2 linked regions of the Cricetulus griseus genome follow. The protein of the gene in region 1 binds, or shares a complex with, the protein of each later gene. Links are inferred from orthologs where the notes say so. Each region holds a gene or a part of one and is shown in the gene's direction. Other genes may lie near its edges.

What was found.
Region 2: the proteins of Csk (region 1) and Pag1 are in contact, whole or in part, in an NMR structure (PDB 2RSY), measured with the Rattus norvegicus proteins. The link is inferred for Cricetulus griseus from reciprocal best matches to the Homo sapiens genes CSK and PAG1. Residues at the interface, in NP_001025210.1 of Rattus norvegicus: Thr88, Arg89, Glu93, Arg107, Ser109, Thr110, Asn111, Tyr112, Thr117, Cys122, Glu123, Lys125, Val126, Glu127, His128, Tyr129, Arg130, Ile140, Asp141, Tyr156, Asp161, Gly162; in NP_071589.1 of Rattus norvegicus: Phe291, Ser292, Leu294, Tyr296, Lys297, Ser298, Arg299, Glu300, Glu301, Leu305, Ile310, Met313, Tyr314, Ser315, Ser316, Val317, Asn318, Lys319.

What each region holds. Positions count from the first base shown.
Region 1 is NC_048597.1:169,251,581-169,267,220, reverse strand, and holds Csk (tyrosine-protein kinase CSK), read left to right. Parts: upstream 1-6,620; 5' UTR 6,621-6,682; coding exon 6,683-6,697; intron 6,698-7,012; coding exon 7,013-7,126; intron 7,127-7,242; coding exon 7,243-7,355; intron 7,356-7,608; coding exon 7,609-7,828; intron 7,829-8,603; coding exon 8,604-8,697; intron 8,698-8,855; coding exon 8,856-8,921; intron 8,922-8,998; coding exon 8,999-9,098; intron 9,099-9,208; coding exon 9,209-9,299; intron 9,300-9,496; coding exon 9,497-9,570; intron 9,571-9,670; coding exon 9,671-9,866; intron 9,867-9,945; coding exon 9,946-10,032; intron 10,033-10,223; coding exon 10,224-10,406; 3' UTR 10,407-11,073; downstream 11,074-15,640. UniProt on the Homo sapiens protein: Non-receptor tyrosine-protein kinase that plays an important role in the regulation of cell growth, differentiation, migration and immune response.
Region 2 is NC_048595.1:138,156,053-138,170,914, forward strand, and holds part of Pag1 (phosphoprotein associated with glycosphingolipid-enriched microdomains 1), read left to right. Parts: intron 1-2,596; coding exon 2,597-2,693; intron 2,694-4,001; coding exon 4,002-4,588; intron 4,589-8,142; coding exon 8,143-8,202; intron 8,203-10,000; coding exon 10,001-10,363; 3' UTR 10,364-14,862. UniProt on the Homo sapiens protein: Negatively regulates TCR (T-cell antigen receptor)-mediated signaling in T-cells and FCER1 (high affinity immunoglobulin epsilon receptor)-mediated signaling in mast cells.

The sequences.
Region 1 (15,640 bases):
GAAGCATTGGCCCTGCCACAGTCACAAGCCCCTGTCCTCTAGCCTTGTGGGGGTGGGTGACAGCTGCTGAGCCTTTGGGGTTAAATATAGTCCTATTGGTTGTAGGACCTAATGTGCTGTACTGGCCAGGCTTTTCCTATTCATTCATTCATTCATTCATTCATTCATTCATTCATTCATTACTCATTACTGAGAAGCAGCGCCCAGCCCAGCCCATGCTGGAGTTGCAGACATGAGTCAGATCCTAGCTCCTCTCTTTCACAGACACAAAGCTCCCCTTCCACCCTCAACCATAGGTCACTGCTAGTGAGGTCCTTTGCTGGAGCACGGTGGTGTGAGAGGGTGGTGTGAGAATCCGGACCAGCCAGCACAGCTGAAGAACCAAAGGACTCCTGGTGGGAGTGGCTTTCAAAAGTGGTATATTTTTTATTTTATTTTTAGGGAGAAAGTAATATAGATAGATGTTTATATCTTTAAAACAAAACCAGGGGCTGGGGATGTAGCTCAGTAGGGAGGTAGTGTTTTCCTGACCCACCTGAAGCCCTGGATAGACAGGAGGTTCAGAAATTTAAAGACATCCTTGCTCACATAGTGAGTTAGAGGTTAGTCTGGACTGCAGGAGTCTCAATATATATACAGAGTAAACAAGGTTTTCTTTAATTTGATCCATCCCAGGGGCCACCTCTGTTATTTGTCTGTCTCTCTTTTTGGGTGTATTTATTTACTTTATGTGTGTGTTTGCTTGCATGTATGTGTGTAATCATGAGCATGCCTGGTGCCCATGGAGTTCAGGAGAGGGTGTCAAATTCCCTGGAACTGAAGTTACAAACATTTATGATCTGCCATGTGGATGCTGAGAGCTGAACCCAGGTCCTCTGCAAGAGCTGCAATTGCTCTTAACTGCTGAGCCATCTCTCCAGCCTTCTCTGTGTCTCTCAGAAACTATTTAGGCACCTCCAAGCTTAGGAATGTGTATTCATTTGTGTAAAACACAACTTGTGAGCCAGGGAAATGGTGCTGCAGGTTAAGATGCCTCCACCAAGCTTGACCACCCAGGACCCACACAGTGGGAGGAGAGAACCAATTTCCACAAGTTGTCCTCTGACTTCCACATGTATATACATGCACATCAAATAAATAAAGTGTAATAAAAAAAATTAAAGCAAAACAGTTTATATCTGGGTGTGCTGGTGCGCGCCTATAATCCTGGCCCGGAGACTAAGGCAAGATGATCTTGGAATTTGAAATCTGTCTGGACTACATAGCAAGAACCTGCATCAAAAATCTAAAAACAGCTGGGCAGTGGTGGTACACACCTTTAATCCCAGCACTCAGGAGGCAGAGGCAGGAGGATCTCAGTAAGTCGAATACCAACCTTGTCTACATGGCAAATTCTAGGATAGCCAGGACTACATAGAAAGACCCTGTCTCAAAAAACAAAAGCAAACAGACAAAAATCTAAAAAATAACAACAGTCATAAAGCAAAACAAAAACCTCACCCACAACTGACAGTACACTGTAAGTCACCTGTATCTACATTTGCCTTTTTTGGCTTTGTTTCAAAATCACCAAAAAGTAGAAATAATATATTGGGTACTCATAGGTCTTTTGTCTATATTTACCTGTTCTTAACATTTTGCCACATCTATTTACCTCTTTTTGTTTTGTTTAAGATTTTATTTATTTATTATGTATACAACATTCTGCTTCCAGAAGAGGGCACCAAATCTCATAACAAATGGTTGTGAGCCACCATGTGGTTGCTAGGAATTGAACTCAGGACCTCTGGAAGAGAAGTCAGTGCTCTTAACCTCTGAGCCATCTCTCCAGCCCTTGTTTTGTTTTTTGAGACAGGGTTTCTCTGTAGCTTTGGAGCCCATCCTGGAACACACAGAGATCCTCCTGCCTCTGCCTCTGCCTCCCAAATGCTAGTTTAATTTTTTTTTTTTTTTTTTTTTTTTTTTGGTGTGTGTGTGTGTACTCATGTACACACACACACACACATCAAACATGGCACAGTGTATGTCCTGTGGGGGTCAGAGAACAACTTGTAGAGTTCATTCTCCTTCCAAGCATGGAACTCAAGCTGTCAGGTTTGTCTGCAAGTGTCTTTACCATTGAGCCATCTTGCCAGCCTTCCTTTGTTTTGTTTTGTTTTTATTGCATCACTGGGAGATTGGAACCTAGGGTGCCATGTGCATCACAAGTTGCTTTACTAACCTCTTTGGCTAGTTTTAGGCATCCTATCCCTTACTCTGGTGAGTTTGGTCTTTTAGTGTGTGTGTGTGTGTGTGTGTGTGTGTGTGTGTGTGTGTGTGTGTGTGTGTAGGGAGTTATGTAATTATGTTTGTGTTCATGTGTGAGTACACGTGTATGCACACATGTGAAAGCCAGAGGTCAACCATGGGTCATTCCTCAGGAGCTGTTTACTGTGTTCTTGAGGTAGGGTCTCTCACTGCATCCTGGGACTTGCTTGATAGGTTAGGCAGGCAAGCCAACCACTGCCTCTGCCTTCCCAGCATTGGGGTTACAAGCACGTGCCACCAACGTTGGACTTATGTGGGTGCTTGGGACCAAACACGGGTCTTCACAGCAAACACTTTACTCACTGAACTGTCTCTTTAGGTCCTTCTGTTTGTTCATTTGGTTTGTTTTCATTTTGGTATTTTGACAGTGTTTCTCTGTGTAACCCTGGCTGCCCTGGAACTTGCTTTGTAGACAAGGTTGCCCTGGAACTCACAGATCTGCCTGCCTCTGCCTCCCAAGTGCTGGGATTAAAGATGTTTTGTTTTTTAAGACAAGATCTCACTGTGTAGCCCAGTCTGGCTTCAGATGTGTAATCTCTCCCCATCTCTTGCCACCACAAAGAGGGGCTCCTATTGTATTTTGCTCTTTTGTTTGTACAACAGTAGCAGCCCCCATCTGTACCTCAAGGCTACACAAAGATTCCCTGGATGAAGGGAGAAGACAAGTAAGTGAGCAGAGTGCATGTGTCTGGGAATAGATGTGAGAAAAAGGGACAGATAAGGTGCTTAGAAGCCAGAACATATGGGAAGCTCCAGTGACTTCCCAAAGGTTGCACAGCAAGTTAGGGCCAGGACTCAGCGTCATTTCCTCCCAGGACTGTGGTCCTGCACTGCCTTCCTAGAGTGACTTGGCCCTAAATTCAGGTGATTCCCCCAAAGGACTATCTTCTGTGCTTACTCCCTGGCTACTTGGAAGGTGGCCTGCAGTAAGTAGCCTCTTGAAGCCACTCTGGCTGTCAGCCTCAGCCCTAGCTGGGACACTGCAGCTGCTCAGCCATCCTAGCCTGGTGACCTCACCGTAAGTGACAGGTTGGAAGGTGTCTGGTAAGACATGCTTCGAGGACAGCAGTGCCCCTCTAGGCAGCATACCTGACCATTGCTGCCTTGTCCCATCCCCTTAAGCACATCCTTGTCCCTGTGGCTGCTCTTCACCCTATCTGCCCCAGACTAGAGTAGTCCCAGACAGACAGCAGTTCCTGGGGATATAATGTGGTATGTGAGAAACAGGCTACCAGGAGGGAGTCCTGGCCAAGGAACTCAGGAGTCTGAAGGTGAATCTCACTGGAGCTGTGACCTCAGGCAAGGTCTCACAGTCCTCAGGGCTTCTCTTGGGGCCTCATCTGTATAATGGGGTTGGTAATAATAGCCCGTTTCTCAGTGTCATTAGGATTGGATGAGCCAAGGATAAGTCCTGCCACTGAGTAAGTGCTCAGAAAACAGGGCCTGTGATTATTTTTATTATTATCATCAAGGCAGCAGGGAGGTGGCACGGCGGCAGCTGCAGGCCAGGAAGGAGTGTTTGCAAACTGACAGCTGGAAGGGTGACTAACCATGCCCAGCCTCCGCTCCCTCCTGTGGTGGCAGCAGTGAGTTTTGAATTTGGGGAGGGAGGAGGAGGTGTGAAGAGCGGGTGAGCTAATATGATCTCCATAGAAGGGCCCTAAGGTTGGGGGCTCAGCAGCAGCAGTGGGACACTAGCTCACACTCAGGCAGGCTGTGTGGTCTTGGGTAACCTCTTGGACCTTGGTTTTCACTCCTGTCACAGGGAAGGAAGTCTCACAGCTCTCCCACAGCAGGTAGTCCACAAGGCCCAGGAGCTGGTTCTTATGCTTATGCTGGCTCAGTCATGGAAATATGGGGTGTGAGGGGGTGGTTCCTATCACACTCTCCCTGGGCTTCAGGGGCCCAGTCTAGACAGCAGGCTTAATGGGCTGCCCTTGCCTCTGGGTGCAAGAAGGACTATTTGTTCTGGAGGGAGCAGGAAGCATGCCAGACTTGTCCAATTCTGGGGTCTCATTCCATTCCCTCCATAGCCTCCTTGTCAAGGTCCAGTGTGTCCCCTTTCAGGACGAGGGGATATGAGGCCCAAAGAGTTGGTTCATTCTCTCCAGGTTGGCATGCTGATAAAGCCAGGTTCAAAGCCCAAGTCTGTCTAGCTTGGGAGTGCTGGTCAAACACCACCACCCCCCTATTACCAGCACATATCCTTCACCCTTGCTTCTGCTGAACTCTGGGAGCATGTGCTCCCCGAAAAGGTTCCCAGGGGCCAACCGTAGTCCTCCGAAGTTCCATGGGATCTCCTTGCCACCCTGCAGGGTTCATACCATGGCCTCTGGAACCCTTCTCATATAGCAGACAGACAAGAGTGCTCTGTATGGGCTCAGCAAGTTCAGGGTCACAGAGTCCCAAAGGGGCAGTTGGTTCCACTTTGCTTCACTAGCTTCCACTCAGGCCGGTTCTTATTTTTTTAATTTTTATGCCCATTGATGTTTTGTGTGCATGTGTCTGTGTGAGGGTGTCAGTACCCCTAGAACTGGAATTACAGTTTGAGCTGCTATGTGGGTTCTGGGAATTGAAACCCAGGTCTTCTGGAAGAGCAGCCAATGCTCTTAACCACTGAGCCATCTCTCCAGCTCCCCAGACCAGTTCTTGCAGCTGTGCCTACCTTCTACTCCAACACCTTGGCTAGGACTGGCTAATAAACTAAGCTTTTCTATGATCCTTTTTCTGGCCCATCCTCTTTTAAAAACAAGGTCTTAACCATGTAGCTCAGGCTGGCCTCCAACTAGGCATCCCTCTGCCTCACTATCTACCATCTGCTTTTCTAATAAATATCTTTTTATATCAATTTTTATTTGCTCAATTGCTCATGAATTTGAAACATAGACACCTTATGCTAGGGTTTGAACCCAGAGTCTTGAGCACTCTGAGCAACTACTATCCACTAAGATCAATCTCTGGCTCCCACCTTCTGAAGTCTTCCAGTGTTCAGGGCTCAGTTCTCATGATTCCTGCATATATGTGTACGTGCAGGTATGCATGCACATGCACACACATGTACCAGCACCTACACTGAAAGTCCTCTTCTAGCAGTGGTGTACATAGCCGCCATAAGTGCAATGGCTAGACCTCACCTCTCCCATCCCAAGTGCATCTGTCATCTAGCCCTGTGACCACAGAAAGGCCATTGGCTGTTCCCTCACCAGAAAGAGAACAGTAGCCCCACTCTGCCTGAGTCCTTCTGAGGTTATCTGAGGTCTGGGGCTGTATTTGGACTGAATGTGTTGGTGACATATATGTGTGTGTGTGTGTGTGTGTGTGTGAAGACATGCTTGCTGCTCTGGGGGAGTGTTCTGAGGAATTCCATTTACAAAAGTGCACATAAATCCAGAAGAGCACCAGCTCTCAGGCTACACCCAGCAAGTTTCTCTGGAGCAAACCCTCTCTTGCAAGGGGGCTCAGACAGCCCCCATAGCTGACACCTTGAAGCCCCCTCACACCCTGTCCAGTTCTTTCCTCTGCAGAGATTCATCCTGACAAGCCTGGATTGGTTTGATCCAGTTTTAAACTTGATACAAAGAGAATCACAAAGCTTGTGCTTCTCTGTGCCTAGCTCCTTGGTGAGAATCCAAGGCTGATAGGTGGCTGACATGGGCCATGCCACCGCTGTATGGAATTCCATCTTGTGACTTCTCCCTATTTTATCCACTTCATTTTCAGTACCTGGGCAGTTAGCTCTTGGTCTGAGATTTACTACAGAGCACACCATGAGAGAGCACCTACCCCTCTCCTGGAGGACATGGGCTACTTTCTTTTGGGTGTGTGCCAAGAAATAAGCACAGATATTTGTCTATACAGTCTCTGGGACAAGCCTGTGACCTTGTCTAACAAGTGACTTTCCTGGACCACTCATCACCTGCCTGGTTTCAGAGTTTCCCTAGACTCCCTTTCCCTGACAATCCTCAAGGCCTCCCTGGGACTCTTGAGTCTGTGTGCTTCTACCCAAGGCTAGATAGAACAGCCCTGGAGCCGGGCGTTGGTGGTGCATGCCTTTAATCACTGCACTCGGGAGGCAGGGGCAGGCGGATCTCTGTGAGTTTGAGGCCATCCTGGTCTACAGAGCAAGTTCCAGGACAGACTCCAAAACAATTCAGAGAAACCCTATTGGGGGGGGGGGGCAGCCCTGGATCCATGTACCAACTCTCAGAAGCTTTGGCACTGTGGCTTGTACTGCCTTGAAGGAACTGATGATCACCCACAGAGGGTGGGGTCGTCTCTTCTCAGCCTTCCTCAGCTTGTCTCCTCTCCCACAGCTCTAATGGTACCAAGTAACGGATTGGCCTTCCTGTAGCACGGGGACGCCAGATCTAAGAAGATGTCGGCAATACAGGTACCATGGGGTTGTGGTGGGGACAGATGAGGCAATCCCACATCTGGAAAAAGAGTGGGTGCTTAGACCAGCCTATTCCCCATTCCCAACCCTCCATGCTAGTCAAGACTTTGAAGCAACGGTAATTCCAGTGTGCTCTATTGGGCACAGGGCCCCAGACTGGGCTGCAGAGCAATTTGAGCTGGAAGGGACTGGGCATTCTCTTACCCCAAACTCATGGATATCAGCTAAGATGCTTTGGTCTCAAGGGCATTCGGGCAGAGGGGTAGAGAAGGGCCCCAGGCAGCACCCCCATACCTGTCCCTTACCTTGTAGGCCGCCTGGCCATCCGGTACAGAATGTATTGCCAAGTACAACTTCCATGGCACTGCTGAGCAAGACCTGCCCTTCTGCAAAGGAGACGTGCTCACCATTGTGGCGGTCACTAAGGTACTGTGGACCTTAGATGCCTATCCCATTCTTTCACCTCCAGGGATTCCCTCTGGGTTTGGCTCCCCAGCAGAGGGAGGTAGACCTGAGAGTGTGTCTGGTTGCCCTCTCTCCAGGACCCAAACTGGTACAAAGCCAAAAACAAAGTGGGCCGTGAGGGCATCATCCCAGCCAACTATGTCCAGAAGCGTGAGGGTGTGAAGGCAGGCACCAAACTCAGCCTTATGCCGTGAGTACCAGGAGGAGGGCTGGAGTCTCCTGGTTTGGGGAGAAGAGAGGAAAACAACCCTGAGTAAGAGGCGTTGTAGGAATGGAACAAGAGGTTGCACCTAACAGAGGGAATAGGCACCCAGCAGAAGAAAAGGGGACAGGGAGAAGATGGTGCCCTGGCTGATTGGAAGCAGTGGGAAAGCGCATGTGGGGGGCTGGCAGGAGGCACTGGGGTCAGTGCCATTGTGACCCCCAGCCTTGCCACCCCCTAGCTGGTTCCATGGCAAAATCACACGGGAGCAGGCCGAGCGGCTTCTCTACCCACCAGAGACGGGCCTGTTCCTGGTGAGGGAAAGCACCAACTACCCTGGGGACTACACACTGTGTGTGAGCTGTGAAGGCAAGGTGGAACACTACCGCATCATGTACCATGCGAGCAAGTTGAGCATCGATGAGGAGGTGTACTTCGAGAACCTCATGCAGCTGGTGGAGGTGAGTAGGGGTGCTCCCCCTTCTGCCCACACTCAGACACACCTGAGTCCACCTGAGGACATTTCACACAAACCCAGCACCAAGTCACCTGGCAGAGTAACCTGGACACGTTGACAGCACACCCCAGTGGAGCACCTGCTATGTGCCAGGGCCCATAGTACCCCAACAAGGGCCCGTTTTATAGATAAGGACACAAAGTTCTGATCAGTGAAAGTCTCTCCTCTCTCTGTACGTTGGAGGTGCCACTAGACTTTGAGGCTATCTGATCCAGAACTCAATTCCTCTTCCACTCGAACCTCCTCGTGTGTGTGCCCTGGCCACCAGGGTCCTTCAGGCCTTTGCACACCCACAGGTCCTTGCAGCTTCCGACACCAGCTCTGTCAGCTCTGACCAGGCCATACTTGGCAACAGAAAACTGTAGGTTCCCTCCAAGCTCACTCTCATCCTGTCTCTGGTTTACATTGGCCGAGGACACCTGGCTGGAGGCTGGTGCAGGGAGCAGGCCAGGCTTTGCTGTTTACCTTAAGATGCTGGTCAGGCCCACAGCAGTAGTGACAATTGGGAGTCCAGTAGCTGATGTGGGTGGGGTGACACAGGAAATGGACAGGCATTCCCACCCTTTTGAAATGAGGAACCTTTCACACAAAGCAGCTGGAGGCTTCGTGAACTGGCCTCTGCTGCCCCCTGGTGGTCAGACCTGAGCAGCCCGTGAGTCTATGAAAAATGGGGCCAGCGGGTCTGGTTCTGAGGGCCTGCCCTCCCCCTCTCTCTGCAGCACTACACCACAGATGCCGATGGACTCTGCACTCGCCTCATCAAACCAAAGGTCATGGAGGGCACAGTGGCCGCCCAAGATGAATTCTACCGCAGTAAGTACACTAACTACATTTCCACTGGCCTACCCTGGTGGTTTGGAGACATCAGACATCCCACATCTAAAGCAGTTTGGCCTGTGCCTGCCATCTCAAACGGCCTCAACTCTCTGTTCACCTCACTGACACACTGCTTTTCTGCCCCCACCCCACAGGTGGCTGGGCCCTGAACATGAAGGAACTGAAGCTGCTACAGACGATTGGGAAGGGGGAGTTTGGAGGTAAGTTGAGGGAGCCCCGGGAGGGTCTGAGAAGCTTCGGGTGTCCAGGAAACCGCATCCCTCCCTTCTTCCTCCAGACGTGATGCTGGGTGATTATCGGGGCAACAAAGTTGCAGTTAAATGCATTAAGAATGATGCCACTGCCCAGGCCTTCCTGGCTGAAGCCTCTGTCATGACGTAAGTTGAGACAAGCATAAGGGCAGGTTGCCTGGGGCCTGGGTGGAACGGGGGAGGCTGGCTGACTGAACTCTGAACTCTGGCTGACTACTCTGTCCCGCCTTGTCCAGGCAACTTCGGCACAGCAACCTGGTCCAGCTACTGGGTGTGATTGTGGAGGAGAAGGGTGGGCTCTACATTGTCACAGAGTACATGGCCAAGGTGGGTTCTCCTCAGCCTCACCTCTCCCTCCTCCCAGCCCCTCCACTTTGTCCCCACTGAGCTTTGAAGTTGCCAATCCTGGCCAGTCACTTACTTACTGAGGGACAAGTCGTGCCCTCTCCAAGCCACTGTTTCCTAAGTGTTCTGGATGTCCCCTGTTCCCTTTCCTCACGTCCCTTTCTGCCCTGCCCCCCCAGGGGAGTTTGGTGGACTATCTTCGATCACGTGGTCGTTCGGTGCTAGGCGGAGACTGTCTCCTCAAATTCTCACTGTGAGTGATGCAGCCTGGGGTGGGACTAAGAACTTGAAGGAGACCCCTGCCCTGCTATGGGAGCCCCAGTCTGAGGGGCATGTGGCTGTCCTGTCCTCAGAGACGTCTGTGAGGCCATGGAATACCTGGAAGGCAACAATTTTGTACATCGGGACTTGGCTGCCCGGAATGTGCTGGTGTCCGAGGACAACGTGGCCAAAGTCAGTGACTTTGGCCTCACCAAGGAAGCCTCCAGCACTCAGGACACAGGCAAACTGCCCGTCAAGTGGACAGCTCCGGAAGCCTTGAGAGAGAAGGTGAGCAAGGGTCCTAGAGTCATTATCCCCTCTCCTGAGCTTCCTAAAATCAAGGCTGATTATCTTATGCACATGGCAGAAATTTTCCACCAAGTCTGATGTGTGGAGTTTCGGAATCCTTCTCTGGGAAATCTATTCCTTTGGGCGAGTGCCTTACCCAAGAATTGTGAGTATGGGTCTGGGAGCCAGTGCGTTGCTGAAAGTGATGGCGGGTGGCAAGAGTAGCATCCATTGGTAACTGCCTCGTACCTCGGGTCTGTCCGGCCTGAGGCAGGGCTGAAGGCCCTTCCTAGAGAGGGAATGTGGGTAGGGCTCCCTTCTCTTGTAAGGCACCAAACTCATGCCACCTGCTCACAGCCCCTGAAGGACGTCGTCCCTCGGGTGGAAAAGGGCTATAAGATGGATGCCCCGGACGGCTGCCCGCCCGCAGTCTACGAGGTTATGAAGAACTGCTGGCACCTGGATGCTGCCACACGGCCCACCTTCCTGCAGCTTCGAGAGCAGCTGGAGCACATCAGAACCCATGAGCTGCACCTGTGACCTCTGCCTCCGCCTAGGCCCTGGGCCTGTAAGGACAAGGCCTAGAAGATCACAGATCTGGTGCCTGCTGCCCACTGGGCCTGAACTTGAACTGAGCCCCAGTGGGCTGGTAGGCCTCCTGCCTCTGACCTGCCTGTCCCTTCTGGCCCCCCAGGGACCCCACCTAGGCCTGGCATCTCTTATGGACCCACCCACCTATAGGGCTTGGGGCACTCACTGAAGGGGCTAAGGAGGGAGGAGGACAAGGAGCGGGAGGCAGTGCCCCCACTGTGGTCAGCCTTCTCTTGGCCTCCCATCACTCGCCTTCTTAGAGTTTTATTCCTTTCCTTTTTTGAGATTTTTTTCCGTGTGTTTATTTTTTATTATTTTTCAACATAAGGAGAAAGAAAGTACCCAGCAAATGGGCATTTTACAAGAAGTACGAATCTTATTTTTCCTGTCCTGCCCCTGGGGGTCGGGGAGGAATCAGCCTCTCTCTAGGGACCGATCACCCCAGCCTGTTCCCCATCCCGTGTTCCATGTCCAGTGTTGCCTCGGTCGCCTCTGTTTGCGCTTGACCATGTTGCACTGTTTGCATGTGCCCGAGGCAGGCGTCTGTGCTGTGGCCGCTCACCCACCGCCTTGTGAGTTGGAATCGTAATAAACCACTCCCATGAGGACACCGCCACCCAGCCTCGGCGCTTTCTCCGCCGAGCCTTCCTGTCTGCACAGTCGTCTTCCCATGCCATCTTGTCCATCCCCCCTGTCTCTGTGAGTGGGGCTGAGAGGGAAGCATGGCTAGAAGATGTAGCCGCCTCTTTGTGTCAGCTGCACGAGCCAGTGTCCTGTGTCTGCCCATGGGGGAGTGCTCACCGCCTGTCCATTCCTATCAGCTACCACCTGAGCCCAGCACCTGGGCAGCCTTGGGCTCTGAGACCAGTCCATGGGATGCTGCCTGGGAATTCTGGCTGCTTCTCCTGCCATGCTGTCCAGGCCGGAAGCACAAAGAATTGGAAGTCCAGGCCTGCCCAGATGGGGATGTGGCCCTGGGGCAAGAGCCCAGATAAAGAGCCTCAGAAGATACTGACCTCAAGGGTGACGGAAGGGGAGCTGCTGGGGATTCTCACATTTCATCTAACATGTGACAGCTTTGCTTTTCCTCACCCTACTGTGTGCCAAGCCCTGGCTTTCCTGGGCTTTGCATGGATTCAGGCACCTTCCTTATGCCCCAACTGGGGTAGACAAATGGAGAATGAGAACCAGCTTGGGCTTTTCTTCCCCCCAAGTTGTGCAAGGGCGGTAGAACCCTGGTGGGTAGGAGAGACTTGATTCAGTAGAGATAAGTAGGGAGGTTCCCCTTATCCCATCATGGTCCTGGCCCTCCTCCTCCAGCCTGCAGGACCTTAGACCAACGAGTTTTGGCTTGAAGCATGTCTTCTGTGTACCTCCCCAGGCCCACTGTGTTCCAGTCCCTCCCAATGCAACAACTTTCCCCACTAAGCTGCCCTTTGCACACCCTTCAGGCTGATTTTTGTGAAAAGCAGACAGATTAGTCATTCAACTGCAAATGTCCAAATACCTGCTGAGGGTAGACTGCTGGATGCTTCTGGCAGGTAGCAGAGTGGACCCTGTGGAGTTCATGGTTGAGAGGACAGTTAGTTACACACAGATAATGACAGGCTCTTCTGTTGTAAAGGAACACCCAACAGGAGAGTATCATAGATCAAGAAGTGGCATCCATGCTGAGTTCAGGATGGGTGCAAACATAGGTGGGGCTAGTAGCACCCCAGGGAGAGGAGACCCTAGTAAGGGAGGCTTGTCCAGGAGCTCTGAGAAGGTGGGTGACAATAACCAGTGGACAGCACCAGGAGATAAGAGATGGGGCTAGGTAGGGAAGGTTGTGGCCTACATGTGTTTCTTACCAAGGCAAGAGTTACTGTAATTCAGTGACATGTTTGGGGCATCAGAGACATGTCAAGTAATGCCATTCTAAAGTAATCACCCCAGGTCCCAGTGGGGAAGTGTGAGAATAGAGTAAAGATGATAAGAGGTAGTCGATGTATCAGTAAAACTTAGCAATGGGGTCAGCATGCTCCACAGGGAAGGAAAGGGAGAAGCCAGACGCCTCTGACTCTCCCTGATGGGTGTGTGTGTGAGCTAGGCAGCTACCAACAGAGAGGACCAGAAGAGACCATCACAGGTTCTACTGAGCTCAAGCATTCTGAGTTGAGTGCTTTTGAAACTGCCAAGAGGTGGGGGATTGATAAAGCATAGGCTGGAGAAGGAAACTGAGAGCTGTCGTGAATGGATTGAACCTAAAGGATGAGGTCCATATGGTAGGAAAGGGCAAAGATGAAGCCGAGGGGGGCTCTAAGAACAGGTCAGGAAGAAGTTCACACACCTGCAAACCCAGCACTCAAGAACAGGTCAAGAAGTTGTTCACATGCCTACAAACCCAGCACTCTTGAGGCAGGAAGATTATGAGTTAGATAGAGGCCAACCTGGGCTACTTGTTGAGACACCATCTTTTAAAAAATTAAAAATTGCTTCTGCAAGGCATTGAGATTAGGAGGGAGCAGGGAGGGAATGTTACTGAGGTCCAGGCAGAGGTCTTCTACAGGTGGAAGCCACTGGGACCTGCCTCCCAGAGGGCATGGAGATGGACACTGTTTTTGCCCCCAGGTCCAAGGAAACTGCCCTAGTAACTTCTGTGTTTGGCCAGGCCCATACCAGGAAAATGTATCTGACTGGAAGGAGAGGGGATGGGGGCAGAGGGAGTGGGAGTTCAGAGGCTTCAGCAAGTTTGGTTGTCTGAGGGAAGAACATTGGGTAGCATCTAAGTTCTGAGGGAAAGACAAGCTACTGAGAAGGCATAGTAGGAGTTGGGGTGGGAGTGGAGCTTTCCTTGGAGTTGGTCTCTCTGAAACTGCAGAGGAGGAAGACACACACCGAAGTCCTGGTGAATGTGTAATGACCAGATTGAAACCAGATATACACAGCTGTAACCCCAGCACTTTTGGGGGTGAGGGGGCAGGGGGATTAGGAGTTCAAAACCACCTTGGCTACATAAAGAGTTCTAGACCAGCCATGGTTGTAAAGTGAGACCCTGTCTTGGGAAAAAACAAAACAAGCAGAGTGGGTGGGAGCTGACTGTAAATGTTTACTGATATCTAAATCATAAATACTGTGGCTGATTTCAGAACACCGCCTGCTATGCCCAGCCATCTCCTGTTTAGAAGCCTGCAGTAGAGCCTTGTGGAGGAGCAGGCCCAGCTCCCAGGACCCTGAGTCAAAGCAGGCACAGGTAGCTGAACCCCCAGTCTCAGGGTCCCAGGCCTGTTTGTCCTTCAGTTTCTCTCCCTTTTCTTGCCCCCTGCCTCTAGCTCCCTTCTCTTCATTTCCTTTCCCTCCCCATTTATATTTTTATTAGACTTTTGAAGGTTTTTATTTTGTTTTGTTTTTATCTGGATAAAGTCCTAGAGACTGAGTCTAGGGCCTCAAAATGCTAGGCAAGTGATCTAATAGTGGTAGGATTGAGCTTGTAACCTACCAGCCCAGTTTTTCCTTTTTTATACTGGGCCTCAGGTAGCCCAGACTGGCCTCTAATTATGTTGCTGAGGATGAACTTACATTATTGAGTCTCCTACCTCCGTTTCCCAGGTGCTAGAAATACCAGCCTGTGATTCCTGGCCCAGTATATGCAGCACTAGGAATCAAACTCAGGGTTTTTGTGCATGCTAGGCCAGTATTCTGCCAGCTGAGCCCCAGCCCCAGCTTTTACTTTCCGTTTATGCTTGCGTTTCTTCTATCCTTCAGCCATCTGTGTGGCTGTTGGATTGTTGTAAATGAGCATGACATAATTCCTAACCTAGAGGGTACCCCTAACATTGTGGACAGATGGGGGAACACTCTCAGCGCTCAGCTTGCTACCCAGAAGTCCTTTGGGGTGTTACCTTCTGCCAGTTGCCTGACGATAATGCAGAGGCAGCAGGAGGTGTAGGCCACTTTCCAGGCACTCAGTAAAGGGCAAGTATTGGGTGGTGGTGAGGGTGTTCCTTGTCAAAAGAAGGACACATGAGGAGCAGAGATAGTGAGGTTCCTGAGAATGATGCGTTCCGAGCTGAGGAGTGGGGTTTGGGAACAAGGAAAACTGAGAAAGCAGGGCTCAGACCTCATGGCTTCACAGACCCGAAGTGGAGCCCAACTTTGAGCAGCTATGACTAGGGGCTACCATTGGCCTATGCAGGATGGAGGAATAAGGGGAAGACCTGAAATTTAGAGTGGTATTCTGGCCTGGAGTGAGTTCAGAAAGGGAACCAGGAGTTGTGGGGAAGCTGCTGTCAACAGCAAAGGAGGTGATGGGTGGTGCTTGAGCTGGGCAAGCAGGAAGAGCAGAGACAACAAGGTCAACCCAGCTGCTGTTTTGCTGAGCTGAGCAGCACTCAGTGTGTGCCAGGCCCTTCACACACACTGTCATGTAACCCTCCAGACACCTCTCAGAGCCATAGACTGTACATTTTACATACTATGTCATATGGTTATGGTTATATACAGTATTTCTCTGTAAGTACTGCACATTGCAGTTAAGAAAACCCAGACCCAGAAAGATTGAGACACAGGTTACAGACTAAAAGTGACAAGAGCTCATTCAAAAGCTAGTGATGGCAGAGGTGAAGGTGGCAGGAGGGAACATGGATAAAAGGACATCCTCTGACCCCTGGGGTGAGGAGCCCTGCAGCCTGAAGGAAGCTGGAGAAGAGAGATTCCATCAAACAGGATGTCAGGAACTTGGGCGCATCCATGTGGAGCTGTTCTTCACAGACACATGCATTCCTGTAGCTCCTGGAGAGGTGGCACTGGAAGAAGGGATTTGGGAATCACTTGTGGAAACTAAAGGCAGAGATGAGCAATCCCAGGGGATCAGATGGAAAGTAGGGAAGGGACCTGAGGACCCCAACTAAGAGGCTGGGAAGGGACAACAGTCACAAAGTGCCATGTAGAGAACAGAAGGGCAGGGGAACAGAGGTGAGCACAGAAAAGGGAAATCCCAGTGAGGGCGAAGGGTGAGCAAGAGCATGGGCAGTGCTGCATGGAGGCTGTGTTGTGAGGTTTTCCCTAGGCTAGTAGAGGACCTCGTATGATACGTTGTGAACAAATACCTAACTGGTCCCAGTAGGAAACAAACCAAACCAAGGAGACTGCTTTAGTCCAACTTGGTGAACCAATGAGTTTACTGGGGTTACTTGCACGAGTAT
Region 2 (14,862 bases), on another chromosome or scaffold:
TAGAGTGTACAGTACAGTCTAGAGTGTACATTCTTGGTGTTGTTACATTAGGTTCTTCCAGAGTTGGATCTGTTCCCAAGCTCAGTTCCTTAGTTCACACCCGCTTCTTGCCTCCACCTTCCCACGGCCTTCCCCTTTATCCCTCCTGTTACCTTTCTCTCTCTGAATGTCTGTCCTTAGGGCCAAGTCCCCTGCTTTCAAAAAGACACCAAACATATGAGACTAAAACTCACCTGACTCTAATATAACCTCATTCTTAAATAGTGTCATTTGTAGTGGCTCGGTTTTCAGATAAAGTTACGGCACCGGGGACTAAGATTTTGACATATATTTGGGAGGAAATACAACCATTCACCGGGGCCTGGGGCCCCCAGCTGAGTCTAGCCTTGCTGCCTTCCCAATCCTTGGCATTTGATGGAATCTCAGTGGGCCCAATAGACTCATGGATCCACCCACCTGCGTGAGGATCTGTCTGAGGGTGTCACATTTGTCTGTCCTTTGACTCAAGTTGTGCTCTTAGGTGGTAGTGAAGCCTCAGCAGCTGTACCCACAGGGCTACGTTGAGTCCCCCACCCCCACCCCCACCCCCACCCCCTGAGCCCCAGGGCAGTGCTAGGAGAGAAGTTGCTTCCTGCTCAGAGCAAGAAGAATCACATATGCATCAAACTCCATGGGATCCAGCATTATTTGCACCCAGCAGATATGTTCAGAGCCCATGCAAGAGGCACTGACTACCTGAACTCCCACTTCCCAATGTGCCTTGGCCCAAGCAGGCAGGAAGCTGCCAGGATTCCTGTCCTGGCTCCTAGACCCCAGGGCACTCTGTCTTCTGTGTGAGATCACTATCCTCACCCATCACAGCTGTCCTGACCCTCAGCATCTCCTATCCCTTGACTGATTTTTCTCACCATTTTCACATCTTATGTTGTCCCCACTTCTTTGTTCCCAGTTTCTCCATTCTCTCCCAATAGTTACTAGTGTGGTGGGGGAACACAGTAGAAGGATGGGTCCCTGTCTTTCTTCACCAACCACTTTCCTCGCAGCCAGTGGATAGTGAGTTGTGGCTGAGACGAGGCATGTACCTCTACCCTCATTTCCTCCTAGAATGAGGTTTCTAAGCTAAGGCTGGACCATTACTAATTGCACCACCTGGGAGCTGGTAGGAAGCCAGTGTTCCAGGGATGGAACCAAGCCTCCAAATTGCTCTGATGCAGGCACCAATGTGAATGCCATCATTCTTGATCTGTCCCTGCTGTTCTGACTGAGGTCAACAGCCTTTGGGAAGTGCAGTGGGTAAGCAGAGGAAGAAAGCTGAGTCTTCATTTTCTTCTTTACATAGGATCCCCTCCACATACGTTCATAACACGGCTGTGTCTCCAAGAGTGTGCAGTCACAAGGATGTATGCTTACACTGATAGCAAGGCCTGAACTCACACTGTTGCCCACTTAGCTCCTGCATTTCCTAAATCATTCACAGTTTGCAGATTTGTTTCTCATAGAAACTAAGGTGTGAAATAGTAGTTGAGACATGGATTATGGAAGTTTGGCCATGACAGGTTCTATGGGAGGCCTTCCCTTGATCCCCAGTCCTGTGCCCTAAGGACACTGTTTCTATAGTATGAACATCTAGATCATACAGTAGCAGATGTGAGCTGCATTGGCCCAATAGAGCAGACTTCCTAGACACTTGGACATTGCTGCACATCAAAGGCCATTTTCTGTGAGTTATTTGATTTCCCATCAGAGTCAGAAAGTTTGTGAGGCCAACTACCCAAGACTTCTGTGTAGAATACATCAGAATTTCCCATGTGATATCCTGGAACCTAGTCTGTGTCTTGGGCAGCAGAAGCTATGAATATGCCTATTTGGGTTGCTCTGTGTGAACAGTTGAGTGCTGGAAGAGGTGCTTCAAGGAGCAGTTTGTTTCTGCATGTCCCTTGTGACACCTCCACCTCCAACAGCTGTCCTGTTGTTCCTGGCACTGTCTACACACCACCATCATCCCAGAGACACACTCTCTTCCCAAGTGCCTATGTGTCTTTGAGGATAGGGAAGGTTTGCAAAGCAATTTTCCAGTAAATGATCATTTTAGTAACGCCTAAAGCCAGAGACTAGCTCTGAAATAGACTCAGAAAAATGCATGCCATTAAATACTGGGCTGGCCAGATTTAAGGTTCTTCTATCCAGATACAGCAGTGATACTTTGCTGTTTGTTTGGCAACACCTGTGTTACAAGGATGGTGTTGGTCCCTGTTAGTGACTGTTCTGACCCACACAAGAATTTGTGGTCTCCTTTTGCCTTGAGCTAAGGAAACACATGTACCTGTAGTCCACTTGGAACCCCAATGAGATGTGCTGCCTGGAGCCCTGGAAGAGTCCCAGTGCCCCTTCAGAGTCCAGAACCGCATCTTCAGAAATAAGCTTAGCAGTTCTCCATTGGTGAAAATGGTCCCCACTTGACACCTGAGTGTGGCTAAGTCTATGGAACTGGATAACTCACCTAATTTAATCCATTGATTCTCGGATTTGCTTTTGGCTGCTTTGATTTTAGGGTACCCAGCAGATTCTTACCCAAAATTGTGTTTGGATTTTTCAGCCTTCGGACAAGGAGATGTTCAGCCACTCTGCAACCAGTCTGACAACAGATGCACTGGCCAGCAGTGAGCAGAATGGGGTGCTCAGCAATGGTGACAGTAAGTTCTGCAGAGATGCCACCGTGGAACACTAGGTTTCCAGTCAGGTAGATCTCAGGGCTGAGTTGATGACTCAGTGGTCAAGAGCACTGCTGCTCTCCCAGAGGACTTGAGTTTGATTCCCAGCACCCACATGGCTGGCAGCTCACCACGGACTATTACTGCAGTTCCAGGGGATCCGATGCCCTCCCTCTTCTCGTCTCCACGGACACTAGGCATGCAAATGATGCACAAACATACATGCAGACAGAACACCATACATACACCCATAACAATGAATTCTTAGCCCCCTGGATCTAACATTCTTCAGGTTCCCATGGTCCCCACCGTGTTGTATTTCTTGTCTTGGTTTGTTGGTGGTGTTAGGGGTTCTGTTTTGTTGGTTAGGTTCAGGGCCTTAGGAGACCCTCCCAGCTGGTCCAATGTCTCTAATCTCCCTATAATGAGGTCCACTTGGGTAAGAACTTGTTGGTGATTTGAGCACCCTGAGAGAATTCTGTTCTGCTCACCTCGGGTCTCTACCTTGTTAACCGTCTCTGGCATCTAGCAAACACTCAGAATCCATGTGATAAGGACTTACTGCCATGGTCATGGTTACCATTTTAGAGGCAGTCTAAGGACATCCTGGTTGGACTTCTTATGTGAGGCAAGGATGTGAGCTGAGGCACACTGGAAACAAGGCACAGTCTGGCCTTTTGTGATCCTGGCCTAAAGGTTCATCATTGATGCTCAACTTCTGTTATGTCTGCCAAAGGAAAGTGACCTGTGAAGTGGGGCAGGGTGGGAAGATCACCTACTCCCTCCATAGAGGCAGAGGCCAATTAGACTACGGTAACAATGCCCCATTGTTAGTATCTTGCAGTCCCATGGGTTGTCAACTGTTTTCTGTACTGGGGGTGTAATCCAGGGCCTTATGTGTGCTAGACAAGCACTATCACTGTGTTACAGCCACAGCCTCCTTTACTTTTATTTGAGATAAGTTACCCAGCCTAGTCTTGAATTCAGTCTTCCTGCCTCAGCTTCTTTAAGCAGTTGGCCCCACCTGGACTGTCAAGCCCTCTGCCTATATGGGTAACAATAAGTAATGAAATGAACCATGAGTCAAAGTATAGCTAGCCCACATCATTTATTAATCTTGTACTGGGAAAGGTACAATGGATAGCTTCCCTTTCAATGCAATGGAATAGGAATATGCATTGACGTCACAGTTTGCAGCTGAGCATCAGATGAAAACGGGGTTGATGGTCTAACATAGTGGTCCCCTGCGCTGGTTATTAAGAGGTTGTCTAACACCCCCTCCCGCTTCAGTTCTTTCAGAAGACAGCACCTTGACCTGCATGCAGCATTATGAGGAAGTTCAGACCTCAGCTTCAGATCTTCTGGACTCCCAGGACAGCACAGGAAAGCCCAAGAGTCACCAGAGCCGAGAGCTGCCCAGGATCCCCCCTGAGAATGCCGTGGACGCGATGCTCACAGCCAGGGTTGTGGAGGCGGACTCGGGGCCCGGCATGGAGGGGCCCTACGAGGTGCTCAAGGATAGCTCCTCCCAGGAGAACATGGTGGAGGACTGCCTGTACGAAACTGTAAAGGAAATCAAGGAGGTGACGGACAAAGGCCAGAATGGCAAGTCCAAATCCACTTCTGCCTTGAAGGAGCTTCAGCGGCCCCACACAGAGGGCAAAGCCGACTTTGCGGAATATGCCTCTGTGGACAGGAACAAAAAGTGCCGCCAAAGCATGAACGCGGAGAGCATTCTGGGAACTTCCAGTGACCTGGAAGAGGAAGCCCCACCACCTGTTCCGGTTAAACTTCTGGATGAGAACGCAAACCTTCCAGAGAAAGGAGAGAGCGAGGTGGAAGAGCCAGCTCCAGAGGGGACCAGTGGACACAGCAAGGTGGGCTTTTGTCCTGATGAGAAGGTCTCAGGTCCTGGGAGATATATATAATACTAGCAGGTTCATGAAATGATGAGAAGTGACATGGGCTACTGTAAGCTGTGCTTGGCCTTTTCACCCTCTAAGTCTTAGATTGCTGAAGATTGATGTTTACAAAACATTTCTCTCTGAATTTCTCATTTGGGTAGTTCCCAACATTTATATTATATGTAATTAGACCAATATTATTGTCTTCATTTTGAAGACTAAGAACTAAGTAGGCAGGATTCTTTGCTGCACAGCTTCCCTCCTCTGTGTGTGTGGCTTCCTCGAGCAGCATGGTAACCTTGAAATTTTCTGAATCCCATAACCTAGAGTTCAGTGTCTGTCCTGATGGCAGGTGTCCAGATGGCAGGTGTCCCTGCTTGCAACTTATTGTGTATTTTCCTCCAAGTCAACTAACATGTCTTTTCCACTAGTGTATATGCAATATTTTTAAGTAATTTCTAAAAAGTCCAGTCAGCAGAGGTCTAAATTCCATCAGCAGTCCACAGCTTGTGGTGCTGATGGTGCGGGTATCTCACAGCAACTGAGCCATGGTGAGCCTCACACTGGATGTCCTCACCATTTAAGTGGGCCTGTTCTGCTTCTGTCTGTCAGCTACTGTAGATTCCTATTATCTACACAGAAAAAAATGCCAAATTATCTTCCAGTCCTAGCTTTACCTCCCACCCTTTGCAAGGAGGACTGCTGATGGTCACCCCTCTATGGCTACACTGGTTATAGTATGAAGTCATTCTTTGCACTAATCTGAATTTGTTCCAACTTTTTATGCTATCTTGAAATGAGTTGTTGTAAGCACCTTGAAAGTATTTACAAACATGTTCGTAAACTGCAGTACAGTCTAAAGCTTCCACCCTTCACATAACCAAAGACAAGGAAGCCAAGGTAAGCTTACACTGCCTACACTAGCTAAAGCTTCTTCTTAGTAAACATTTGGAAGACAAAAGGGTTGGTTTTCTATTGTTAACAAGCAGGTCTCCAGATTTCACATTAAAAACTGGAAATCCACATCTAAGATCAAATATCCTTCACATCGTAGAGTGAGTAATCCTCTCCCATGTAAATAATCCCAATTTTAAGTGAATTACGAACTTCAAATGTTTAATATTCAAAAAAGATTTTTTATGGAGTATCTACTACCTGCCATATGGTCTCCTAGATGTTATTCTCCAGTGAACAAAACATAAATGAATGAAAATCCCAGGTCATGTGGAATATATGCTTAAATGAGAAAGATAGATACAGATTAAAGGGAAAAAAAATAAGATTGGGAGTGAGTGGGGTGGGGAGAGAGTTGTTAGCTTCTGTCTCAATGTGAAGTTAATCTTTAGCAGAGTTAGGGAGTGACTGAGAAAGCTGTACAGGTGCTCTTCCGGCACCTGTTGATCTCTAGGAAGCCCCTAAGCTAGATCAGTGGCTGGTGTGTGCATGGAGAGCTGGGGTAGTGAGCAGAGATGGGTGAAGACGAGTGCAGTATGCAGACAGGTACCTGGGTGGGAACTTATGGCCTGGGTTTATTGTCTGCATGAAACCAGCAGAACACAACAGTGCTATCTATGCTTTGTAAGCTTTCCCCCACTCTAATAAGTAGAGCCAAGTAGGACAGAGGCAGCAGAAGTGATTAGCCAAGGGCTGAGTGAGGGCTGGCACAGTCAGTGGGCACAAGGAACCATATGAATCAAGATAGAGTATCCCAGGGGGATGTGAGCTGGGGCAGGCCTCAGCCCTCTGCATTTTAATAATGTGTCGCTAGAGATCAGGACTGTCCCCAATGCTGACACACCTTAGGGCAGCTGGGGATATGCATGGGCTAAGAGGGAAGGCTGGCACTGGAGTCACACAGTTTTAGAACGAGCAGCAAAACTGTTTAAAAACATGGGATTGGATGAGTGTGTACTAGGGCCAGGAGAGTCCCAAGAACAGGGATCTAGGGGTTGGGGGGCAGCAGGAGAAACCAAAATACGAACAAAAAACAGTGAAGAGGACAGGAGTTACTAGAGACTGGGTAGAAGAAGTATCTGGGAAGGAAGGGGACACCTGAGTTGACATAGAATAGTCATCATTCTGATGTGGCCATCATTTGGGACCAAGATGAATAGTTCCTCAGACCAGTGAAGGTGCAAACTCAGATGAAGTGGCTTCAAAGAGGAAAGTTACCCAAGGCTTTGCTGTATGGCAGTGAGAGAAGGATGGAACTGGCAGTACCCTTGTTTGTTCTGTTTTAGTGTCTAGTGTGCTTATGTATAGATGGATTAGCCCCACCAAGGGAGAAAATCTGGTGAAGGAGACAGAATAGGAGAGAGGCAGAATAGCACTCACATGCAGTGTGTACAGGATCCAGTGTGCAGGAGGGACGACTGGGAGCAAGACATGTCAAGCAAGTTCATGTATGGCAGCCAGGAGGGGACAGAAGGCCACCAGGGCTGCTGGGGCAGGGTAGAGTTCAGAGAAATATATTTGCATCTTTGAGTTTTCTCAGAGAATCCAGAAGCAAGGCCATCCTTCAGTGACTGAGATGGTGCTGTGGTGGGCAGGTGGGGACATGTTGAGTCTTTGGAGGAAGAGGAGACGATACCAAGTCAATGGGCCTGTAAAGAAGAGCAAATGCGGGATGTCTTCATGATGTGGCCTAAGACACAGAGCCACTCTGAGGGCCCAGCCATTGTCTCAGCAGCAGGGAAGGGACCTGAGCTTCCCTAGTTGTTATGATGACTGACTACAGATAGAGTAATACTTGGTGAAGCAGGAAGGAGAGATACCAGAGGGGCAGTGGAATAGACAGTTGCATCACAACTAAGTGTTGATGAATCACTGGAATCGGTATTAAAAAGAAGAGTTTGAATGACAAATGCTGGTCTGAAGGGGTTTCTAGGAGCTGGGGTGGTGGAGGACAGAGAGGGCCCAGGTAACTAAAGGCCTGGTGTGGTGAAGAGACACTGGGGATGGTGAAGTAGACTGTCAGTGTGGGAAAGAGAGGGTTGGGATGGGTATGACTTTTGTTGGAATCAAGAATTGAAATAAGAAGTATATTAGAATTAGTTAATAAGCCAGAGCCAAAGTCACAGAAGAACCAGGAGTGAAAATCATTGAGAAACAGGCAGGAGAGGAGGTTGTGAGATCTGTGGGTGTTTTTCCTGGTGACACCAGATACCAGCAGGTTCTCAGATGTGACATGCTGGCATGTTGTATAGAAGGGCCAGCTTTACTATCACCCTCCCCCACTACTGTCAGCCCTTCCTCAGTGATGATTAGGAACCAAAATGAGATGGTTTTTAAAATCACTGGCTTATTTCCACCTGTACATAGAACTATTAGAAGACCTCTGTATAGCAGCAATGTGGCTGGGTAGCCTTTAGTGTGCCAACAGCTGATGTAAGAGATACATAATTGCCTGTGGTCTGTAGAGATCACCCGAACACATTGGTATAGACATGGATGTATATGTGTAGAAGAAAGGTTAAACCATCGGCTTCAAACTGCTTTACTTTGATTTGCATTTTTTTTTTTGACAGAGATTTAGTTCCTTGTCATACAAGTCTCGGGAAGAAGACCCAACTCTTACAGAAGAGGAGGTAAGTTTCAATTCTTTACCAAAACAAAAAAAAAACAAAAACAAAAACAAAAAAAACCCGCCTTTTAAAAATAAAGACATCAGCGGGGTGGAGAGATGGTTTGGCAGCTAAGAGCATGTACTGCTCTTGCCTAGGAGTTCAGTTACCACAACCCACTCTGGGCAGCTCACACCCACCTGTCTCAACAGCTCCAAGGGATCCAGTGCCTCCCAGTACCTCTGAGAGCAGCCACAGCACCTGCACTCACACATGCACTTGCTTGCAAACTTTTTTTAAATAAAACTTATTAATAAAGGAACTTTAGTCTATAACCCTAGACACCATAAATCCAATGTGGTTGCAGATAGCTACAATCATGGCTTATGGGAGGTAGAAGCAAGAAGATCAGGAATTCAAGGCCAGCCTCATGAGATCTCTCTCTATATATAGATAGATAGATAGATAGATAGATAGATAGATAGATAGATAGATAGAGATATAGTTATAGATATAGATATATAGATATAGATATAGATATTTGTCACACACACACACACACACACACACTCACACTCTCATGGAGTGTTGTCTTAGTTAGGGCTTCTATTTCTGTGCTAAAACACTGTAACCACAAGCAATTTGGGGAGGAAAGGGTCTGTTTCAGCTTACAAGTCTCAGGTCATACTCCATCACTGAAGGAAGTTAGGGCAGAAACTTATAGGCAGAAACTGAAGCTGGGGCCATGGGGTAATGTACTGACTTGCTCCTCATAGCGTGCTTTCTTATACAATCCAGTGTCACGTGCAGGAGTAGGTTTTGCAGAGTGAAGGACACTAGGTAGGAGGAAGGGTTGTACAGACATGAAGAGGAGGAAGAACTAGGGTCAGAAAGGGGAAAGTGAGTTTTAGTCAACAGCTGAGGGTCCACCCTTGAAGGAAATCGGTGTTGGGATGAGTAGGAGGAGGGAATTTGATTCTACCTGAAAGATGGGGAAAATGTCCATGAGGAATGTTGGATGCTGGTTGCTTCAGGAAAGATTAATCAGGCTAAGATAACATGACTTGAAGCAACCAGTGAAAACAGATGGTGATTTTCCAAGAACCAGGATAAAAATTGAGGAGACTTTTAGTAGTGCCTTCCAAATGTAGAAGCCACGATTATGACACACATGGAACTAGGTTCAGACAGAGCGCCAGACACCGTCCCTACTCTAGCTGTACACTGCTGGAGTGGAATGCCCAGTGTGGGAACTTTGTCCTCGTGAAGACCACACACATAGGCAGAGAGCTCTTGAGTGCAGTGCTGGAAGATGAAGGCCCCTGCAAGTTCCTTTTCCTAAGGAAGGGAAACTTTCATCTATCTCTCTCCCCAGCTACACAAGGCAAAACCTAGGAGTCATCTTTGATTCTGGTTGCCTCCCTATCCCAGGTGCTGCGAGGTAGCCTTCTCATTCTCACGCCTCCATCTCTGGAGCACCCCTCACCAGCCCATGCACCCCCCTTCTACCAAGTCCCTTGTGAGTCCTTGGCCTCCCTCTAGTCAGCTTTCTACTAGCCACAGTAGCTCTATCTGGTCCCGTGAGAAACCCACAAAACTGGGTTTATAGAGTTAATCAAATATGAGTGATCTCTAGAAAAGAAGATAGTTTGATTATTCTCTAGTAAAATATTAGACATGGATGACATAATTGATGACATCTTTGTCATCAGTAACTCTGGGGCAGGGAGTGTTCATGAGTGCCAAGTTCGTAGCCTATCACCAAGAAGAGGAGGAAGGAATCAGCCCGCAGGTGGCATGTTCATTTCTCATTGTCCCCTAGATCTCAGCGATGTATTCCTCAGTGAATAAACCCGGACAGTCAGCACACAAACCTGGACAATCTCCGAAAGGACCAGAGTTTGCCTGCCCCTCCATGCAGGGACCCCCTCAGAGGTCACCCTCTTCCTGTAATGACCTCTATGCCACTGTGAAAGACTTCGACAAATCTCCCAACAGCATCAGCACACTCCCGCCAGCAAGGAGGTCCAGCGAGGAACCCGAGCCTGACTATGAGGCCATACAGACTCTAAACAGAGAGGAAGAGAAGGTCCCTCTGGAGACCAATGGCCACCTTGTCCCCAAGGAGAATGACTACGAGAGCATTGGGGACTTGCAGCAATGCAGAGATATCACCAGGCTCTAGAATCCCAGAAAGTAGTCCCCAAGAGCCTTGCACAGCAGGGGACAGCTCTGCCTGGGATAAGAAGACATCCATCTCAGGCTGCTTCAGTTAACTGAAGTCAAGTACAGGTTCACATCTGTTCCCCAGTTTCTGAAACAGTAAGGTACAGACTCACTTGTCATGGCAGGACCTCATGCTCACAAGAAACCTCTGGTGCATGTGACCACCACATGCCACAAGGAAGGCAGGCTGTGAGGGGAAGCTCCACCCACCAATGCTGAAATTCCATCTGCCTGGAATTTTGGTGTGGACCAGCCAGGGTTTTCTTCCTCACTCTCCTTTTCTTTGTCTGCTACTAGTGCTAAAATACCTGGCATTTCACCATGTGAGACCTCCCCATGTCTGTGGTTCATTCTAAGGACTGTCTCCCACAGGCTTGGCGCTAGTCTTCAGCTAGATATTATGATGGTGAGAAACAGGCACTGGTTCCCATTAGACCACCCCCTTCCCAGACCAGCTGTGTTGGTCCCTGGGAATGTGCACAGTGCAGGCTACTATGTTTGGGGTGGGGTGTCTCTGGGGTCTTTGCTCCTATTTTGACATGGCAGTCTTTTCACAAGGTACTTTAGACACTTTTTATATTTTTCTGTTCAAAATCTTCCCCCCCACAGTATTCAGACATTTGTCAAAGCTGTTTTGCATTCCCAGTGACTACTATGGTACTTCTGAAGTTGTTTAAACCCAGCGCTCTTCCTTCCAGAGCCTTAATGTTTAAGTTGGGACCTGGGCCACATGTGTGGATGGCAGCTGTGGTGTCTATCCCCAAAGGGCTGCGGACATTAATTTGTGTTTCCAGTGATCTCTGCTGCCCACATGTGTGACTTTCCTGTTATCTGATGGTAATCTAAGAGTAAAATGTAAACATTTATTTTATTATATAAATTTATAAGATGTTTTATGTTTCATGCCTAATTTCTAGAAAATGCCAGAAAATATATATTAACTATTTTGATTTTATGTACAATGATTTATACTCTCAATTTGAAAAGACACCATAAAGCACATAAGCTAGATAATTTTGAGTGATTTTTTTTCTTTTCTTTTCTCTAACAAGTAATGTAACATTGAAGATTTGTAAAGACTCAGCTCTCAAAAAGGTATTTGGGAGCTCAAGATCCCAAACTCTCAGACTGCTGGTGGCAAAAATGCAGTAGGCATAAAATAATCATGTCAACGGTTGTGATGGACACTACTGAAATAGTGTTGAAAACAGAACAAAATCTGACTTAGGAATTTTGAACTCCCTGAAAGTAGCAGACTTGCATTAAAGTCCATTGGCATCTTTAAGACATCAGTACTTGCCAATACAAATTGCCTGCTAGACTTTTTTCTTTCATATAACAAAAGTCTGAAGTAGCTCAGATTACAAATTCAGTCTGGTTTGAATTTAATCATCTCTCTAGATCTTCCAAGGCCAACATTGGAAAGCATGTTCACTTTTCACTGATTCAGACAAAGAGAGGCCGTTCCCCCTCCTGCCGTGACATCTGATTCTAATGACTTAATAATCATGCTGTTTTCCCTCCTTGTGACAAAGAGTGTGACTGAGAAGATGAAGTGACCGGTCAGCTGTGGCCTGTGTTTCCATCCCTGTTATTCACGAACTGTTTTTTGTCTCTGCTGTGTACCATGCTTGTGGAACTGTAAACTCAACTCTCTTAGGTGGTGTCAATCAGCCCAGTCCACCCATGAAGATGCCACATGGATAAGCATAACCACTGCCGATCAGAAGGTGACAAGCAGGGTACCCCTGGCCCCAGGAGCAGCAGAGGGCAAGGATCTTCTGCAAACACTGACTTCCACCACTATGTATTAATGAGTTTGACCCAGGTCACAGGGGTCCCTTTAGCACATGGTGCTACCCATGACACAGCACTCCCAGCCTTGTGCTTGCCACAGTGCCATTCTTCACGGGCACCTAACACCTCCGAAGTTTGATTGTGTTTTATAAAAAGTTTTAACTTAGCAGGGAAGCTGGGATGAGTGCAGGAGTATAAAACTCTTTAGAGACAAGTTCATTATAAATAATCATGTCGTTTTGAAACCTTGTTGTCAAAATGTCCCCAGAGTTTTCAAATATAGTATGCAGCATAGTCATAAAATATGCACTGAAATCGCTCTCCTGGCTTGAGAACCAGTGAACAAGTTGTGACAGATGATATCTTGAGTACTTTACAAGGAACTGGAAGGCCCTCCGACACAAATTCCAGAAGAATAAGCAATAGCTTGTGAGGACTGGAGGAGGAGCGGGGAAGGAAAACAGCTTGCTCAGCTGAGCTTCAGGTACATAATTATTGTATATTGGTGTGTTGTCATTGTTTAACTTGATTATCCAGGGTTCTTTCATTTTATTTCATTTTGTTATAACTTTTTACTCATTTACTTGGTTCAAAATCTATGTTCCTGTCTGAGCTGGACAGAGCCTGTGGTTTGTTTTAAAGTCTTAACCTAAATGTGACAGAGTTTAAATGTATGAAAGGAATAATCAAAGCAGACTGCACCGTATACAGAAACATTCACCGCTGGCATCCACAGTGTGCATCCAGTCATATCCAGCCCATGTGGAATTATCCACAAAGAGAAAAATAAATCACCTGGCATCTGCAGTGTGCCTCATACCCAGCTCGTGTGAAACTATCCACAAAGAGAACAATAAATCATAAGGCTTTTCTCTTTAAGTCAGAATTATAATTCTATCTAGATTAGAAGTAGTTGTTTCCTTTTCCTTAAATACCTTTAAAAGTCTGAAAGCATTTAATGCTCCTTTACATACTTCCCAAATGTAAATCATGAGAAAAGCATAGACTGTCTTCCGTGAAATGTTCAAGAAATTCTAAATGAAAGTCATTTTTATAAATATGTTGGCTGCATAGTTTTGACTTAACCTTATCTAAATCATACCATTAAGTCTGTAAAACTTCTAAATAATACCAATAATCTTTGTGAGAAAAAGTTTCATGATTGTTCTACAGTAAATTCAACAGAATTGGATTCTCCCACAGTAAATTCTAATTAAATGCTAAATAGCAATAGGCCATCAACACATAACTAAAATCTCACCCAGCATGCCAGGGTGCTGCTCTTACTTGATTTTCACCTGTATGATTAGAACATTCCCTGTCTTCACATGTGATAAACTATATGTATACGTGTGTATGTATGTACATATGTATGTCTTGTGTGTTGCTGGCACAGCCCTGACACTAATTAGGATGTGCTCTATCACATATCTGGAGAGTTTATCCCACTAGTGTGATGAGCTTGTGTCATAACAGCAGAATTAAGCCATTCTCCATCAGTTTCATTTGGTAATTATGGGATGCCTTCCTGGGCTGCTTTCATTTAGTTTTCTCAATGAATACATTCAGATTTTAAATTGTGTTCATAATTCTCCCAGTTGAAAAACAATGCTGTCTGAAGATGCCTTTGTTATACTTGAGACTCGGTGCATATTCAGTCTGAGAAAAGGAATGGAAACAGGTGCACTACTCAGTGTATGTCAAGGAAGAGAGAAAGCCAAAAGCAACAAAAGAGGAACCCCGAGCCTGGCTGGCAGGCAAGGTGACCTCCCAGGTAACTGAGGCCAGTTATCACATGGGGAGGGCGGGGGTCTGTTTTATTCCTTGTTAAAACTTAAGCACTTGCAGCAGGACCAGTGGATAATGGAAAATGTATGTACAAAGCCTGTCTTGTGACAGTGCAGTGGCTGATTCCAGACTGAAGCAGGATTTTGTCAATGGGTAAATGACACTGATCCCAGTGCTCCTTGCGATGGAGGATAGGAATCCCTGTGATATAGGGTACCATTCTTCTAAAGTGTTGGTCTCTGGCACACAGACAGCTTAGAGCTGGCTGCTGGAGTCCCAGTCTGTATTGAGGGTTGTTTCCTGGAAACCCTGACAGGTCTATTATCCCGTGCCAAGGGGACATTGAAAGTGTAATGGTTGGTGTTATTGAGTGGCCAATGTGACAATAGGAACATGTGTGGACCAACCAAAGTGGGTTTATTTATTAGTATCTGCATCCTCCCTCCTTTCTGGGACCTGTGTCTGTTCCTCAGGGCATTATTCCTGACAGGGCATCAAGCAAGCTGAAAACACTACTGCAAGGACTTCACATTATGAAATCAGCACAGAACACAGGAAAATTATCATTTTTATCTGGAATTAGGAAAAAATGTTAAAAATCATGGTCCAGAAGAGAAAGAACATCTGCATGGTTTTTTAAATCCTATTTTTGCTCATTTTCAAGCCTTTTTTACTTTTGTTTTTTACATTTTATCTCTAAATATTTGTGTTTTATTGTTTTTTTTCAAGTTTTTTTTAAACTTAACTGAGAAATATTTGTTCAGATCTTAATATCAGGTGAAATTGGAAGTACAATCTTGTTTAAAATGTAATATTAAAGATCATTCCACTTAGTATTCATTTATTCTAATATGTACTTTTCCTAAGGATTGT